Linked DNA regions of Zea mays. The protein of the gene in region 1 binds, or shares a complex with, the protein of each later gene. Links are inferred from orthologs where the notes say so. Each region holds a gene or a part of one and is shown in the gene's direction. Other genes may lie near its edges.

Evidence for each region.
Region 2: tic22 (region 1) and Protein TIC 55, chloroplastic-like share a complex: the UniProt entries of both Arabidopsis thaliana proteins name them as parts of the tic complex. The link is inferred for Zea mays from reciprocal best matches to the Arabidopsis thaliana genes Tic22-IV and TIC55-II.
Region 3: tic22 (region 1) and Protein TIC 20-v, chloroplastic share a complex: the UniProt entries of both Arabidopsis thaliana proteins name them as parts of the tic complex. The link is inferred for Zea mays from reciprocal best matches to the Arabidopsis thaliana genes Tic22-IV and Tic20-V.

The regions. Positions count from the first base shown.
Region 1 is NC_050104.1:9,248,474-9,253,980, forward strand, and holds the start of tic22, read left to right. Parts: upstream 1-1,917; 5' UTR 1,918-2,071; coding exon 2,072-2,473; intron 2,474-2,559; coding exon 2,560-2,622; intron 2,623-3,875; coding exon 3,876-3,950; intron 3,951-5,065; coding exon 5,066-5,110; intron 5,111-5,507. UniProt on the Arabidopsis thaliana protein: Involved in protein precursor import into chloroplasts. Imported into the intermembrane space via the Toc translocon. May be involved in the import pathway used by proteins without a cleavable N-terminal pre-sequence.
Region 2 is NC_050100.1:221,690,781-221,695,894, forward strand, and holds Protein TIC 55, chloroplastic-like, read left to right. Parts: upstream 1-1,874; 5' UTR 1,875-1,875; coding exon 1,876-2,270; intron 2,271-2,380; coding exon 2,381-2,483; intron 2,484-2,576; coding exon 2,577-3,695; 3' UTR 3,696-3,818; downstream 3,819-5,114. Other genes in the region: uncharacterized protein LOC100191588 precursor, read right to left, coding at 4,192-4,484, 4,576-4,813, 5,100-5,114. UniProt on the Arabidopsis thaliana protein: Involved in protein precursor import into chloroplasts. Part of the redox regulon consisting of TIC32, TIC 55 and TIC62.
Region 3 is NC_050100.1:212,573,348-212,577,656, forward strand, and holds Protein TIC 20-v, chloroplastic, read left to right. Parts: upstream 1-1,846; 5' UTR 1,847-1,976; coding exon 1,977-2,621; 3' UTR 2,622-3,013; downstream 3,014-4,309. Other genes in the region: solute carrier family 35 member F2, read left to right, coding at 479-544, 805-810; uncharacterized protein LOC100279738, read right to left, coding at 3,077-3,154, 3,277-3,403, 3,485-3,620, 3,721-3,898, 4,020-4,058, 4,194-4,286. UniProt on the Arabidopsis thaliana protein: May be involved in protein precursor import into chloroplasts. Not redundant with TIC20-I, TIC20-II or TIC20-IV.

The DNA.
Region 1 (5,507 bases):
GATGAACTCTACCGCCGAACAGTCAACGACGTCCTGCTTAAGTGCTTGGGCCCAAATGATGCTATATTAGCCATGGCCGAAGTACATGAAGAAATTTGTGGTACCCATCAATCGGCTCCAAAGATGAAGTGGCTGTTGCGAAGGTCTGGTTTTTATTGGCCTAATATGATAGCTGATTGTTTCAAGTACTACAAGGGTTGCCAAGTGTGTCAAAAATTCGGCGACCTACAGTTGGTCCCTGCAGCCGAATTGCATCCTATCATCAAGCCTTGGCCTTTCAGAGGATGGGGATTAGACTTTATTGGGGAAATTCATCCTTCATCATCAAAGGGGCATCGGTTCGTGTTAGTTGCCACTGATTATTTCACCAAATGGACTGAAGCCGTTGCTCTGAAGAACATGACGCACAAGGAGGTAATTGAGTTCATAACTGAACATATTATTCATAGATTCGGCATTCCCCAGACCTTGACTACAGATCAAGGGACTTCTTTTATGTCAAAGAAGGTACGTGAGTTTGCTGAATTATATAGAATTAAATTGCTTAATTCATCTCCATATTATGCTCAGGCCAATGGACAGGCCGAGTCTAGTAATAGGACATTGATTAACTTGATAAAAAAGAAGATATTGGATAATCCTAAGCATTGACATAAGATTTTGTCCGAAGCTTTATGGGCTCACATGATATCTAAACATAGTGCTACTAAAGTGTCTCCTTTTGAGCTTGTCTATGGGCAGGAAGCAGTGTTGCCTGTGGAAATAAGTTTGAATGCTGTCAGGTTCGCCAGACAAAATGATCTAACCATCACTGATTATTACAATTCAATGATGGATAATATTGATGAGGTGACCGACAAGAGGGTGATAGCTTTGGGAGCAATAGAAAAGGATAAGATCATGGTAGCCAGGGCCTACAACAAGAAGGTCAAAGCAAAGTCATTTTAAGTAGGGGACCTGGTGTGGAAGACCATCCTGCCTCTAAGGAATAAAGACCGGAAGTTTGGAAAATGGTCGCCAAGCTGGGAAGGTCCTTATAAAGTAAAACAGGTAATATCTGGTAACACCTATTTACTACAAACATTGCAAGGCAAGGATTTACCCAAAGCTTTGAATGGGCGTTTCCTCAAGCAGTACCATCCTAGTATGTGGCAAGATGCTTAAGAAAACCGATGTGATCACATCGGACTAAGGTGCTTTTGGTTTGCCTAGCTCCACCAAAAGGCAGGAGGGCATATGTTTGGCACCAAAATGAGCACGCGGACGGTCCGGCCCTGAGGCCGGACAGTCCGCGGTCCGCACAGTCCGCGCTTGTGGGCCGGACGGTCCGCGCATGCGCAGAGTAGATTAGGGTTCCGAGTTTTGTGCTATGTTTGTTAGCTAGATCCGCGGAATTAGCTCGGAATCTAGTCGTGTAAAGGGTCCAGCCCCCCTCTATAAAAAGAGAGATATACGGCCGATTTGTAATCATCATCAATCGAATCAAACACTTCTATTTCGCATTTTATCCTAAGAGTAGTTCTAGTCTAGTTTAGGTTTAGCCTCTCGATCTCTAAATTCCCGCTTCTCTTCGACTCTACGCTGATTAGAAGAGTCTAGGTCGGCCTGCCGAGCCTAGACATCACCTAGGATCTCTCCTCCCCGACGGGGTCCCTCCCGGGAGCGAGATCCAGGTCGCTGCCGGCGACTTCCGCCGCCCCTGCGTACGCGCGGATCGTCCGCCCCCAGGGCGCGGACCGTCCGGCCGTCAGGCAGAAGACCCTAGCCCTGCGCCAGGTCACGAACCGTCCGGTCCCAGGCCGCAGACCGTCCGCGCCTGACTAGAGAGCACCGCCACGGTTCTTATTAGGTGTTTGACGCTCCGAAAAGGCGTCAACAAATTGTTTAGATACTCTCGTAATCACTCCAATACACGTCAGTTGAATATCAGCTTCAGCGGGCCGCAATCCGCAACTCTGCACTTGGGGTTGGGCTCAACCGAATCGCCCCCGCGCCAGGCCGTTCTCGTCGACGCCGCCGACCAATAAGGAGCCTCGCACGCCACGCCACCACCGCCGCCGCAACCCACGCGATGGCGCCACCGGACTCCATCTCCACGTGCTCCTCCCTTCCCCTCGCCGCTGCGCCCATGTCCGAACCGACCCCCTTCCCCTTCGCTGCGTCGCCGCTTCCAAACCCGCTCGTAGCCACCGCCTCCTTCCTACAGCACCACCTCTCCCGTTTGGCTTCCCACCTGAACGTCCCGCGCCCCGCCCTCGCTGCCGCGGCTGCGCGCACGCCGGGCCCCCAGGGCGCCTCCCTATCTCTCTCTCTCGCGCCCGATGAGGTCGCGCGCGCTCTTACCGGCACTCCCGTCTTCACTGTCTGCAACTCCAGCAACGAGTTCGTGCTTGTCTCCGACCCTGCCACCGGCCTCCGCTCCCTCGGCCTCCTCTGCTTCCGTTCGGAGGACGCCGACGCCCTCCTGTCGCATGTATTCCCCGCTCTCTCGCCACCTGTTTGCTTTGGGCTCCGGTTTTGGATTTTTCACTAATTGTTCGGGAGGTTTGTGTGGTTTAGGTGAGGACGCGGCAACCGGTGCTAGGCAAGGGGGCAAAAGTGGTGCCTATTACACTTGATCAGGTTGGTTTCATTCTGTATTTACACTTGATCAGGTTGGTTTCATTCTGTATTTACACTTGATCAGGTTGGTTTGATTCTGTATGTCTTGTCATTGATCATGTCAATACTTGATGAACATTTTTTTTCTTTGAATTGTGGGTTCTGTAAGGTTTTTATGTTTCGTTTTGAAGTACGAAAGCCAGTCCAGTAATTAGGTATCTTAACTTATTAGCAAGGTGAGAGGTAAGACTTTTAACTAAATTGCACAGCGAAAAGAGTCTTTTCAAACTAGTTCTATCAGGCTTATTGGCCAGGAATTGTGTACGCTGTCATGATTTAGGTAGCCAATTACTTATTAGCAAGGTTATTAAAACGGTAAAACGTTGGAACGCTCATGGGTCAAATTTTGTCTTTTAAACGTTTAAACTTTGTTTAAACGTAGTTTTAAACAACACAGGAAAAATACCAATACATCATAATTTCAGACAATAATATGCAGTTAAATACCAAAATATAGAGATTAGTGGCTTACCAAAACTTCACCCATGAGCTGGATTGAACCTCAAAAGTAACTAATAGACTGGGCCCAAAAGTAGCTAATGGTCTAAAATGCATAAAACACTGCGTTTTACAGTTTAGAACGTCAAAACGCTAAAACGTGGTTTCAACCTCTAATTAGAGTTTTGACGTTTAAACGTAGTTCAAACATCGTTTAAACGTAGTTTTAATAACACTGCTTATTAGCTTATCTTGTTCATGCTTTCATGATGCATTAAGCTTGGTTGACGCCACTGCAGCTTTGGTTGTTTAGTGCATGCATAGACATTGTGTTTATCTTGAACCTGACTGATACTCTATTCAGTGTTATAAAAACTACGTTTAAACGTCAAAACTCTAATTAGAGATTGAAACCACGTTTTAGCGTTTTGGCGTTCTAAACTGTAAAACGCAGTGCTTTATGCATTTTAGACCATTAGCTATTTTTGGGCTCATTCTATTAGTTACTTTTGAGGTTCAATCCAGCTCATGGGTGAAGTTTTGGTAAGCCACTAACCTCTCTATTTTAGTATTTAACTTCATATTATTGCTGAAATTATGATGTATTGGTATTTTTCCTGTGTTGTTTAAAACTACGTTTAAACAAAGTTTAAACGTTTAAAAGTCAAAAATTCACCCATGAGCGTTCCAACGTTTTACCATTTTAATAACCTTGACTCTATTATATGTTTTATAATGCAAACATATATACCTCATAACTTTGCTCTTCTATGTAGGTCTATATGTTAAAGGCTGAAGGTATCGCATTTAGGTTCTTACCCGACCCTCTTCAAATAAAGAATGCACTGGAGGTCTGCTCTTTAATAGTTTTTTTCCCGCTCTTTGCTCTATTATCTTGTACATGGACCTATTTATATTCTACTCCCTCCTCTCTCTATGATGTGAGCATAATTGAGATGCATCAGTCAGACTGCAAATGCTCTTGAAAGCAGCAATGCAATGATTTTTTTAATAATTACTTGTTATTTTATTACAAATACAGGGATGAAACATGTGTGTCCATTTCTCCATATCATGTAGTTAAATGCCATAATATTGACCTTCTTGGATATCATTGGCTTGCAATGGTTTGACGGTGGCCAATCATTTAATTACTAGTGTATTAGCAATATTCCTCTAGTGCATGCAGAAACTCTACATAAATTGTTTGACTTGGCAAAATGCATACCCATAGCTATTGGTTTAACATGTTCCAACATTTCAAAGAAAACATATGTTTGAAGAGATTTTTGTTACTTTGAGCAATCCCAATAATTTGGTCACAAGGTCTGTACATTTGTGGCTTATTGTATGTAAAAAAAGAGTTGATCAAGGGGAGAGACGTCCCCTTGACTTCAGTCTTAAAAAGAGGCCCACCGAACCTGGGAACAGGCAGGAACCTCAATACCTCATGTGCGCACGCTTATTTGGCAGCCGTGGAACTACATTGTTTCAACCAGGGAAGTGGGCACACAACCATGCAGCACGAGGGATTGAACCCTGGTTGAGAGCTCCGCCCCTTTGGTTTCTCAACTACTACGCTATCAGCGTGTCTGCTGGTTTTTTGTATGCCTTCAGTCCTTCACCATAATGCGTGAATCCTAGACATGTGGACATAGAACATGTGAAGTGTTAGTTCTTACCATAGTGGTAGGTGGTGAATCTTTCTGTTCTTTTTCCTGGATGGACTTGTTGGCCTAATGACCTGCAATGATTCTCCACAGTGCACATTTGTAAATCTAAAGTTTAAGTAACACATACTTTTGTCTTTAGTTAAGTTTAGGTAACACATACTGTTGTCTGTAGAACAAGCTAAGTCTTGCATATAGAATATGTAGATCATTACAACCCCCTTGATTATTCTTCAAGTACGAAGAAAAAAGGTTTCTTCATCCTTGTGACATGTATTACCCTTTTTATTTTCCAGATGAAATCGGGCTTAACTGCTTTTGATGGTGTTCCTGTTTTTCAGGTAATGTCCCTGATTTGGCCACTCTAATAATATATTTTACTTTCCATATTGACATTCAATTTTAGTTTCTTGTGAGTCATGTGCGTGTCAATTTGATGCGATGAGTAGTTCTTGTTATGCATGCTAAACTCAGTCAAATACTCGCATGTATTAATTCACTAGGATGGCCACAAGGAAACCCTTCATCTGTACCACAAATTAAGTGTAACCTTAGGCGCTACCTCCATACCTTTGTATATGGAGACACATCCTATCAATTAGTATAAGGTTTTCTTGATTAAGCAAATACCAGTAATTCCTCTTTTGGTAAAATTTAGGACAACCGGCAAATTGTTGATTGATGCCTTGGATCTAAGAATCACTAATGCATTTAGCTATTTCCAAATCTAATATATTA
Region 2 (5,114 bases), on another chromosome or scaffold:
TCCCATACAACTGAGTCGGAGCATTATTTTTCATATGAAGGACCCTAGGACCTGGCTATTAGTCATAACTCTAAGGTCGAGGTCATGAAATATTTAGGGAGGCCTCTATGGGGCCTAGGTGAGCGAGAGAACTCTAGAAGCTTGGGAATGCCTCAAAGTATAGAAAGATCCTGAGGCCTTAGGGGCCCTGGTCATGCCAATTATGATGGACGGGAGTGGCTAGGACAACCTCACGGGTTCAGGGGCTCAAGATGAGGTCCATTAGGGTGGGTCTCTAGGGGCACATGTCTGGAGTTAGTCAGGCTCTCGATTACTTTTATCGAGATCCTTAGAAGGCATCTTCATCTAGAGTGTGACCTTCCCCATGCGCTAATAGAGGTCCCCAAGTCAACCATAGACCTATGAGGCTTGCTGGTGGGCCCAAATTTCTCGTAATACACTTGAGAAAAGAAGACTTATTATCTGTTAGAGAACTACTACATAGTTCAATGATGGCAAGCACCCAATACCTGGTGCACTAAGTGTCGTCATGGTACAACATTACAGTACCATAAGCAACCAAAAGACACGAAGAAAGTTTATGGACAGAGCAAGGAGCATAATCTATAGGCGCATTGATCCTAGGTGTAGCACATAGTCATTTTATAAAGGGCTAGGCCACAAGATGATACCATATGTCCTCTTTAAGTACGATGGTTTGACGAACACATAGGTGAAGAAGAATACAAGCTCAGATATCAACTAAGCGTCATGATCTTCTAGCTCTCCCTTACTATTCGGTTCTCATGAGTTCTAGGCTAGTGGTCCCTAGTTCACCTCTATGTATGACCTCCAACAACGTGCTCTAATTTTTGCCATCTAAAAGAATATTCTCTATCCTTTAGAACACACTCTAGAAAATTTCATCCTCTATATCTTTATCATCTCCAACAACATCCTCTAAATTTCATTCTCTGCAACATTGTCTTTCTTCTCCGACACCCCACCTCCACCGTTGTACTCCATCCATCCACCCAGTATCTCCCATGCCCCTAGATGCGGGTTGAGAAGCACTCCACACGGAGCGCCGTGTCCAGGATCACCTATCTCATCTCCGGCAACACAGAGGATGGACTTGTGCTGCGCCGAGGTGGGGGAGAAGCATAGCAACAAACAAGGGAGGAGTGCGAAGAGAGAAAGATCGAGTTACAGGTCCTATGCGCCTACGTCATCCAAGGTCGTGTTTGTTGCACATCCGGTCGCCGTGCGCCTCGTCGTCCTCTTCTACCGTGGATGCAAGTTGGGAGGTGCTGGCTGATGTGCTACTTTGTCGCGGCGTGCACAGCCGACCTGTAGTCTCTCTACACAAGACGGTGCACATAGCCGACACAACGGAACACTCTACATCTGTTGTGCGCGTTAGTGGTCCGCTACTTTAGCGGGTCCTTTAGCGGACCTTGAGAACGAAAAGCAGATTGCGCACGTTAAATTTAGCGTACAGGAGCATTTACAGAGTCTTGCTCTCGAGAGTCTTGTACGTTTAAATTGACAAGCTAATTTTACGCAAATAAATAACAATTTGGATAGATCCAAACGAGATATTATTATAGCTGACCAGTGTAAGCTAGTTCATGCACACGCAAAAAAATCTCGCGATATACTAGTCCGTCAATCGGTCACACTTGGACGAGAGTGACACACGAGAGATCACGGCAAGTGTGGGAGTCTGGAACCGGGACGCTATAGTAGTAGACTAGGTGGCAGAAAGCTGGAGCCGCCATCTGCCGTGTGCGTTGCACACTTGCGCTCGTAGTCGTAGGTGACTCGTAAGGTTTTTATCCGGTGAGGCCGCAGAGATCGAGCGCTCTCGGCCAACCAAACGTCGTGGGACCGAACATGACAACGCCCTCTACCGCACCAGCGCCACTGGCATCTCTCCTCCGCGTCTCCGCTGCCGCTGTTCCAGTGGCTCGACGACGTCCTAAGAGCCCCGCGGCTGCGGCGGCGGCACGGTGGGAGGGAGGTGGGGGCAGAAGGAGGTGCCGGGCGGCGGTGGTGGAGGAAGCCGGGGTGCTGCTGCCCAAGGAGGGGGAGGGGGAGGGGGAGGGGGAGGAGGCCCCGGACGCGGCGGCGGGGCGCTACGACTGGAGGGAGGAGTGGTACCCGCTGTACCTGGCCAAGGAGGTGCCCGACGACGCGGCGCTCCCGCTCACCGTCTTCGACCGCCAGCTCGTGCTCTGGCGCGACGCCCACGGCGTGCTCCGCTGCCACGAGGACCGGTGCCCTCACAGGTGAGATCCTCCGGCCGGTCCACTCTTGTGTGCGTGCAACGATTGGTTTGGTCGAGAACCAGCAGCTGAAACACGATTAATTGCTCCCAAAATGCTTACCGATCGATCAGGTTAGCGAAGCTATCGGAAGGGCAGATCGTGGACGGCAAGCTGGAGTGCCTCTACCATGGCTGGCAGTTCGACGGCGACGGCAAGTGCGTCAAGATACCACAGGTCTCTCTCTCTCCCACCTTTCTTACTGACGCCCCTACCCTACGCGGCGAGAGCATGGATGGGTGATGTGATGGGTCCGTGCCTGCACTGCAGCTGCCCGAGGGCGCCAAGATCCCGCGCAGCGCGTGCGCGCGCAACTACGAGGTGCGCGACTCGCAGGGCGTGGTGTGGGTGTGGATGTCGGACGCCAACCCTCCCGACGAAGGGAAGCTGCCGTGGTTCGAGCCGTACGCGCGGGCGGGGTTCACGGACCTGTCGACGGTGCACGAGCTCCCCTACGACCACTCCATCCTGCTGGAGAACCTCATGGACCCCGCGCACGTGCCCATCTCCCACGACCGCACCGACTGGACGGCCAAGCGCGAGGACGCGCAGCCGCTCTTCTTCGACGTCACCGAGCGCACGCCCCGCGGCTTCGCGGGCTACTGGGGCCGCACCGGCACGCCGCACCTCCGCAACCTTCTGCGCTTCGAGGCCCCCTGCGTGCTCACCAACACGCTAGAGTTCGCCGACAAGGACGGCAGGGAGCAGTGCTTCTCCGCGCACTTCCTCTGCCGCCCCGCCGGGCAGGGCAAGTCCATGCTCCTCGTGCGCTTCGGCTCCACCCTCAGGTCGCCGCTCGCCAAGGTGCTCCCGTCCTGGTACTTCCACCAGAACGCGTGCAAGGTGTTCGAGCAGGACATGGGGTTCCTGTCGTCGCAGAACGAGGTGCTGCTCCGGGAGAAGCTGCCCACCAGGGAGCTCTACCTCAACCTCCGCTCCTCCGACACCTGGGTCGCCGAGTACAGGAAGTGGATGGACAGGGCGGGCCACGGCATGCCCTACTACTTCGGCCACAGCACCCTGTCGCCGCCGCCCGTGCCGGCCGTCGTGGAGCAGGCGCCCGCAGGGGCCGTCGCGGGGATCTCGGCCTCGTTCCCGGCCAAGGGCGGCGTCGGCATGGTGCACGCGCCCAACCCGACCAACAGGTACTTCCGCCACGTCGTGCACTGCAAGGGTTGCAGGGCAACCGTCAAAAAGTACACCTCGTTGAAGACCGTGTTCGCGGCCCTCGCGGCGGCGGCCCTATCGGCCGCCATCCTGGCGGCGACGAGACAGTGGAAGGCCGTCTTGGTGGCGGCGTCGGCCGTGCTAGCCGCCGCATCCTATGCGTGTGACGCGGTGCTTTCTTTGATCACCACCAACTTCATCAGGACACACAGGAGACTGTAATTAATGTGGTACTGGCCACTGTATATTTAGGTAATGGCCGGCGGGGAACGTTCTGTACATTTGTATCACCGTAGCTGCTGGCCTGCGGCTGTTGTATTTTGTATATTTGCAGTAACGTTTTGCATGTCAGCAGCAACTGATTAGGTTGGTTACCTTACCGGTTAGTTTTTTTACTACTGCAGCACAAACTCAGAATTAGAAGATAATCAACATAGCAAAAGATTTAAGTCCGCAGACACAGCCACCAAGCAATCGATACACAACACGCTCGCACGAAGCATTCTTAAAATTCTCCAGTATATACACAATACAAGCAGCACACGTTCACTGTTAAGATAGTGGCACAATGCCTAAAGTCACATGTTATTAAGTAGACAAACTTGATAACAGTGGGCAAACACCGACTCGGAGCATGTTTTAAAGGCAACATACTTGATAGGATATATTAGCTACCACAGTAGACACGTTTGATGCTCCAGGCTTACCGTGGTTGAACTTAGAATTCCCTGTCGGGAAAGAGGACGGGTGCAACAAGCGACCATATGAACAGACCTGCCGTCGCCCACTGGGTTGCAATCCTGACCCAGACAGATGGCCACCCAACATCCACAAGCTTTCCGCTCTCACCAACCGAAGTTGACCAGCCAGTCAAGAGCATTGCCGAGTACATGCTGGCCAGGGAGAAGATGAGGTGAAAGAAAGAGTAGGAGTATGTCACCGGCCTCGGCACATCCTTCTTATCTTCTTGTTCGTCTGCCTTGCTGAAGGGAAGCAATGGCTTGTCGGTCCCTGGAAGGTAAAAGGGAAAAAGGTATCATAATTAACGATGCAAACCCAATATTTGCAAAACTAGCTCATTAGCCACAGAACGCAATCTAACCACGTGGTGAGTCTGGTGGCGAGAGCACAGTTGCAGAGGAGCCAGCGCGGACAGCAGAATAGACCACAGAGAGGACCGTGGTAAGGAGTCCCAATGTAAGGCTACCAGTTGACACAGCTTTTGAGTGATTGTGAAGCCCATTGCATTCGTAATCCCTTGGCTCACTGGAGAGTCCACTGTAGCACAGATATGTACAGTACATACCAATAACTGATGCAGGCAACAAGCTTCCATTGATCTGAAAATCAGAAACTTCAAAGTTCAGCATTATTTAGCACAAAAAAGATAGTTACATTCAAGGGAAATGTATAGACATAGTTTTTGGAAAGCATGGTCATACGATGGCCAAGATGGAATCTAAAACAATCAAACCAACCCAATAATCTAGAGTTGCAAGTATAATACTGCCCCAAACCCCAAACCCATCCAGTATAACTTATCAAGCAACGGTTTCTGGTCAAATCAAGTAATATAAACAAATGCAAAATCAGTAAAACGGAGAAAAACAGGCTACATGATGGTACCTTTGGGTGCAGGGC
Region 3 (4,309 bases), on another chromosome or scaffold:
GTGCTGATCCAAGCCCATCAAGCAGCACTTGCCTGACAGTGGTTTCCATATTCGTTGCATGGCTTGCAAGGGAGGGGAAGCTGTCTGTGATCGGACCACTATCCATCTAATCATCAAGGCGGAAGCAAGTTGTCCTACCATTCCCGATGCTCTCTCATAGTGGTGATCACGCGGGAGGAGTTTCTGCATGCTATCCTAGTTTGCTCTTGACAGAGGGAGGCCAAAGTAAGTTTGGGGGAAGCCTTCCAACTTGGCACCGCACTGCAGGATCGAGGTGAATTGACCGGCTTGATGTTGTGGGTCAACATGAATGGGAACAAGGGTGCTCTCATCGTAGTTGATGCAAAGACCTGTTGCTTGGGCAAAAGTGTCAAGGATCATCCGGAGCTAGGTGACACTAGAGAGGGAAGCATATGTGGCAATGAGTGTATCATATTTGCATATTGGATTACCGGCCCCCGGTTTTGTCATTTGACAGTGGGTGGCGGACTTCCCCGTTTTTCTTGATGAGAACCTGAAGGACATCTTCCACTGGCAGGAACTGGTAAGGTGAGTGGTGAGATCGGGTCGCTCTGCCTCAGGCCTTTCTTGCATGGGAACCATGGGTCGAGGCAAGTAGGCAACCGTGGAGGAGATTTCCAGAGCTTGAGGTGGAGAGGATCTCGGCGATCCAGGATCTCCATCGGTCAGGGAAGCCTCTCTCTGCCATGGTCCTTCAGAGAGCTTCCCAATTCACGGTGTCGAAGCCTTGGCAAAGTATAATTTGATCACTAGGACTGGTGTGGTGTTTTCCTTTTGTGGCAGGTCTGAACAAGTTCAAAAGTGTAGATGAAGCTCTCTGTGATCGATCTGCCTCGAATGAACCCGATTTGGTCAGTGTCGATGATCCTGTCAATCTGTCGTTGTAACCTGGTGGTGAGTATCTTGCTGAGTATTTTGACGCCGCAGTTATGCAAAGAAATAGGGTGGAAGTTTGACGGCGGTTTGATTTGCTGTCCAACTTACCATATTTTATCTATTTTTTATGTCTAAGCTTAGTTCTTCGATTCAAATAATTAACATTAAACAAATTATGACATAGTTAACCGTTTTATCTATTTTTTATGTCTAAGCTTAGTTCTTCAATTCAAACGATTAATATTAAATAAATTGTGACATAGTTAGCCGTGAACCAAATAGACTGAGTGTCCTTTTTTATGAGGAAAATGTAGGAGTGGTTATTCCGCCCGGGTCAGCTCTCCCGGAGTGGAAATCGTTTTGAGAGGCATCACTACTTTGCTATTATGAAACATGCCGCATATGCTATAATATCATTTGATTGTTTAAAAAATGAAAATAATAAATATATTATAGACATTGAGGGATGATTTGCCTCTGTTGTTGTTCGTGCATTCACTTTGGTCGCTGATGTTCGTCTCCCTATAAAATTGACCCTCAATGTCGCTATATATATAATATATATATTTCTTTTCCGATTTATTAAACGATCAAATGATATCATAACGTGGATGACATGTTTTATAATGATATTCAGACGAATCCTCTCAAAACGATGAATCCCAATTTTTTCCGTGGCGGGCCACAGCGGGCCACGCTGCAAGGCGCGAGCGCATGCCGGCCGGCATGGCGGCCCACGTGAGGCTCACCGCGCGTCGCCCACGCGCCCGTCCTTCCTCCCCCGCGACGCCGCAGCAGCACGGCCCGCACTGGCACTGCACCAAGCAGGCAGGCAGGCAGAAGCAGGCACCACCAACCAATCTCCTCGTCTCCCACTCGGCTACCCACATCCCCCGGAGCTCCACAAAAATCTCCGCTCCCAGGCTCCCACCCGCGCGGAGGGGGCAAGCAGCCAGCAGCCGCGCGGCGCCACTGCCTTGCCCTCAACCCCTCACCCAAACGCCTCGCTTTGGCCGCCCCCCACAAGGCCACTCACCCAAAAAATCTCCACTCCTCGACCGCACCGAGCAGAGGATCACATGGCATCCGCCGTTTCGCTTCTCCTCTCGCCCCCGCGCCTGCTCCACCGCGACGGCACATCCCGCCTCCTCAGCATCCCGCACCGGCGGGTCCTCCTCGCCGCCCCCAACAACGCGACCCCTCGTCGGCTCCTGGCCCCCGCGCCGCGCGCCTCCAACAAAAACGACAACAGCGGGGCCGTGGAGGCGCCCGACCGCCTCGTGGCCGCGGTCGCCTACCTATACCCGTTCCTCGACGGCGCGCACCACGGGCGCTTCCTTCTCACGCAGTTCCCCTTCTTCGGCGCGCTGCTCCGCCCGCTGGCCCCCGCGGCTCGGCTCTTCCACTCATCGCCGCTCACGCCCTTCCTCCTCTTCCTCACGCTCTACTTCGCCGTTGTGCGGAACCAGCAGGCGTTCTCCCGCTTCGTCCGCTTCAACGCGATGCAGGCCGTCGTGCTCGACGTGCTGCTCATCTTTCCCGACCTGCTCGCGCAGTCGTTCGCGCCCTCCGGTGGGGTTGGGTTCGAGATCTTCCAGAGCATGGAGAGCACGGTCTTCCTCTTCCTGCTCGTCTCCTTGGTGTACGGCGGTGGCGCCTGCCTGCTCGGGAAGACACCACGTCTGCCCATTGTCGCAGATGCAGCGGAGCGCCAGGTGATGTGACTACAATTCGTTTCCTGCGGACCATGTTGATGGAAAGGGAATCTGATGATATGCAGAAAACATCCCAATGGTTCGTTGGCGCTTGCAGCAAATCACAAGCTTAGTATAATTTACAATTGCCTTGCTGTTTATATAGGTCTAGTTGCCGATTGAATGCATGTACTGTGGAAGGTTGATACAAAAACGTTGCAATACTACCATATTTGTTGAATTGACAAATTTTGAGAGAGCAGTACATGTACACTGTTTTACAATCTGAATTGCATTTACAAATGAGGAGGAATGTCTGAATTGGGGAGCTTTATGACTACCCTCCCCTGAGCAGCTTCCTTTGTACCTGAATGGAGGCTTAGGTCAGTAATTGTGATTTCAATATAAATAAGAGCATTCCATCAATTGTCAATTTCGTCGACAAAGTCCTGGTCTGTTGTCGGCTTGTCGCCACAGTTTGAATTTCAGTTTGAGCTGGAGATCTTGCTTCTCTCGCCCCGAAGCTTCTTGGTCACATGTATAATATCTTCACATTCATGATCCTGTCAGGTAAGGTTAAAAAGAAGTGGTAAAGAAATGGCTGATTCTGTGAATAAGCCATGACATAAGTCTAGCAACTTTGCAAGCATTAACGTGCTGATATACTTTCATGTGCTGTTATTACCTTCAAATTGTCATGTATATTATTAGGTTCTGTTGCTCTTCTGTCCATACTGATCTCTACAGATATACTAGCTTGAGATGGGTCTACTCCCGACCTTTTTAGAGCTTGTGTCAATCTATTTAGAAGCCTGATGTAAATAATGTTTTCTCTTGTTAGTTGCAGATATAGCAAAATTACCATCATAAACAACAGTAGTTTCGGAACAAACCCTTGAGAGTAAGCATCAGAAAGACTTTGAGTATCCTCTTGGAGAGTTTGTTTCTCGTTCTTGCTCAGTGTTTTGTTGTCTGCATCAGAGGTTGACATGCTCAACCATGGTGGCTGTTTGCCAGGTACGCTGTTGTCTGCATTTTAAAGCTATTAGCCTTAGTAAATCAATTTCTTGCCATGATCTTAGCAATTGAAAGGTGGTAATGCAACGAAAGAAGGAAATTGGGAACTTACCTGCCCTGCATTTTGCTTTGCTTGTTGCCTTTTGGGAGGAAATATCGTTTGCACTAGTTTCTCTAGCACTTTGTGTGTCAAAGAGAGCAGACGATGCCACCGTAGTTTGCTTGGAATCATACTGTTCTTTGTTCTCATCTTTCGTGGAAGGTGCTAATCCTCCTCCTTGGATGATATTCTGCGAGACCATGAAAAAGAACAAAGAAATTTGTTATCATTGATATATCATGGGCTCCATGCTTCCATGTGGCATTCCTTTTTTCTTTGGTATGTGTGTGTGCACGCGCGTGTGGAATTACCTCTGTGTTTTTCCAGCATGATCTGTAGTAAACTTTTGCCTAGCAAGGGGAAAAAATAGTGGACAAGTGAGTTAAAATCCAAATGCAGCCCTTTTTTTTGTGTTATATAGTAAAATATGTGCATGATTATTGTGCAGTACTGCGATGAACGTGATAACGTGGCTATGTTAGTACCCATGGCATGGAGGAGTCCTCGTGATTCTTTTCTGGTTGGGCTGACTCGTACTTTTGGACCTTCTCTTGCAAGAACCTTATGTATTCAATAACCTGCGAGCAAAATGTTCCACATG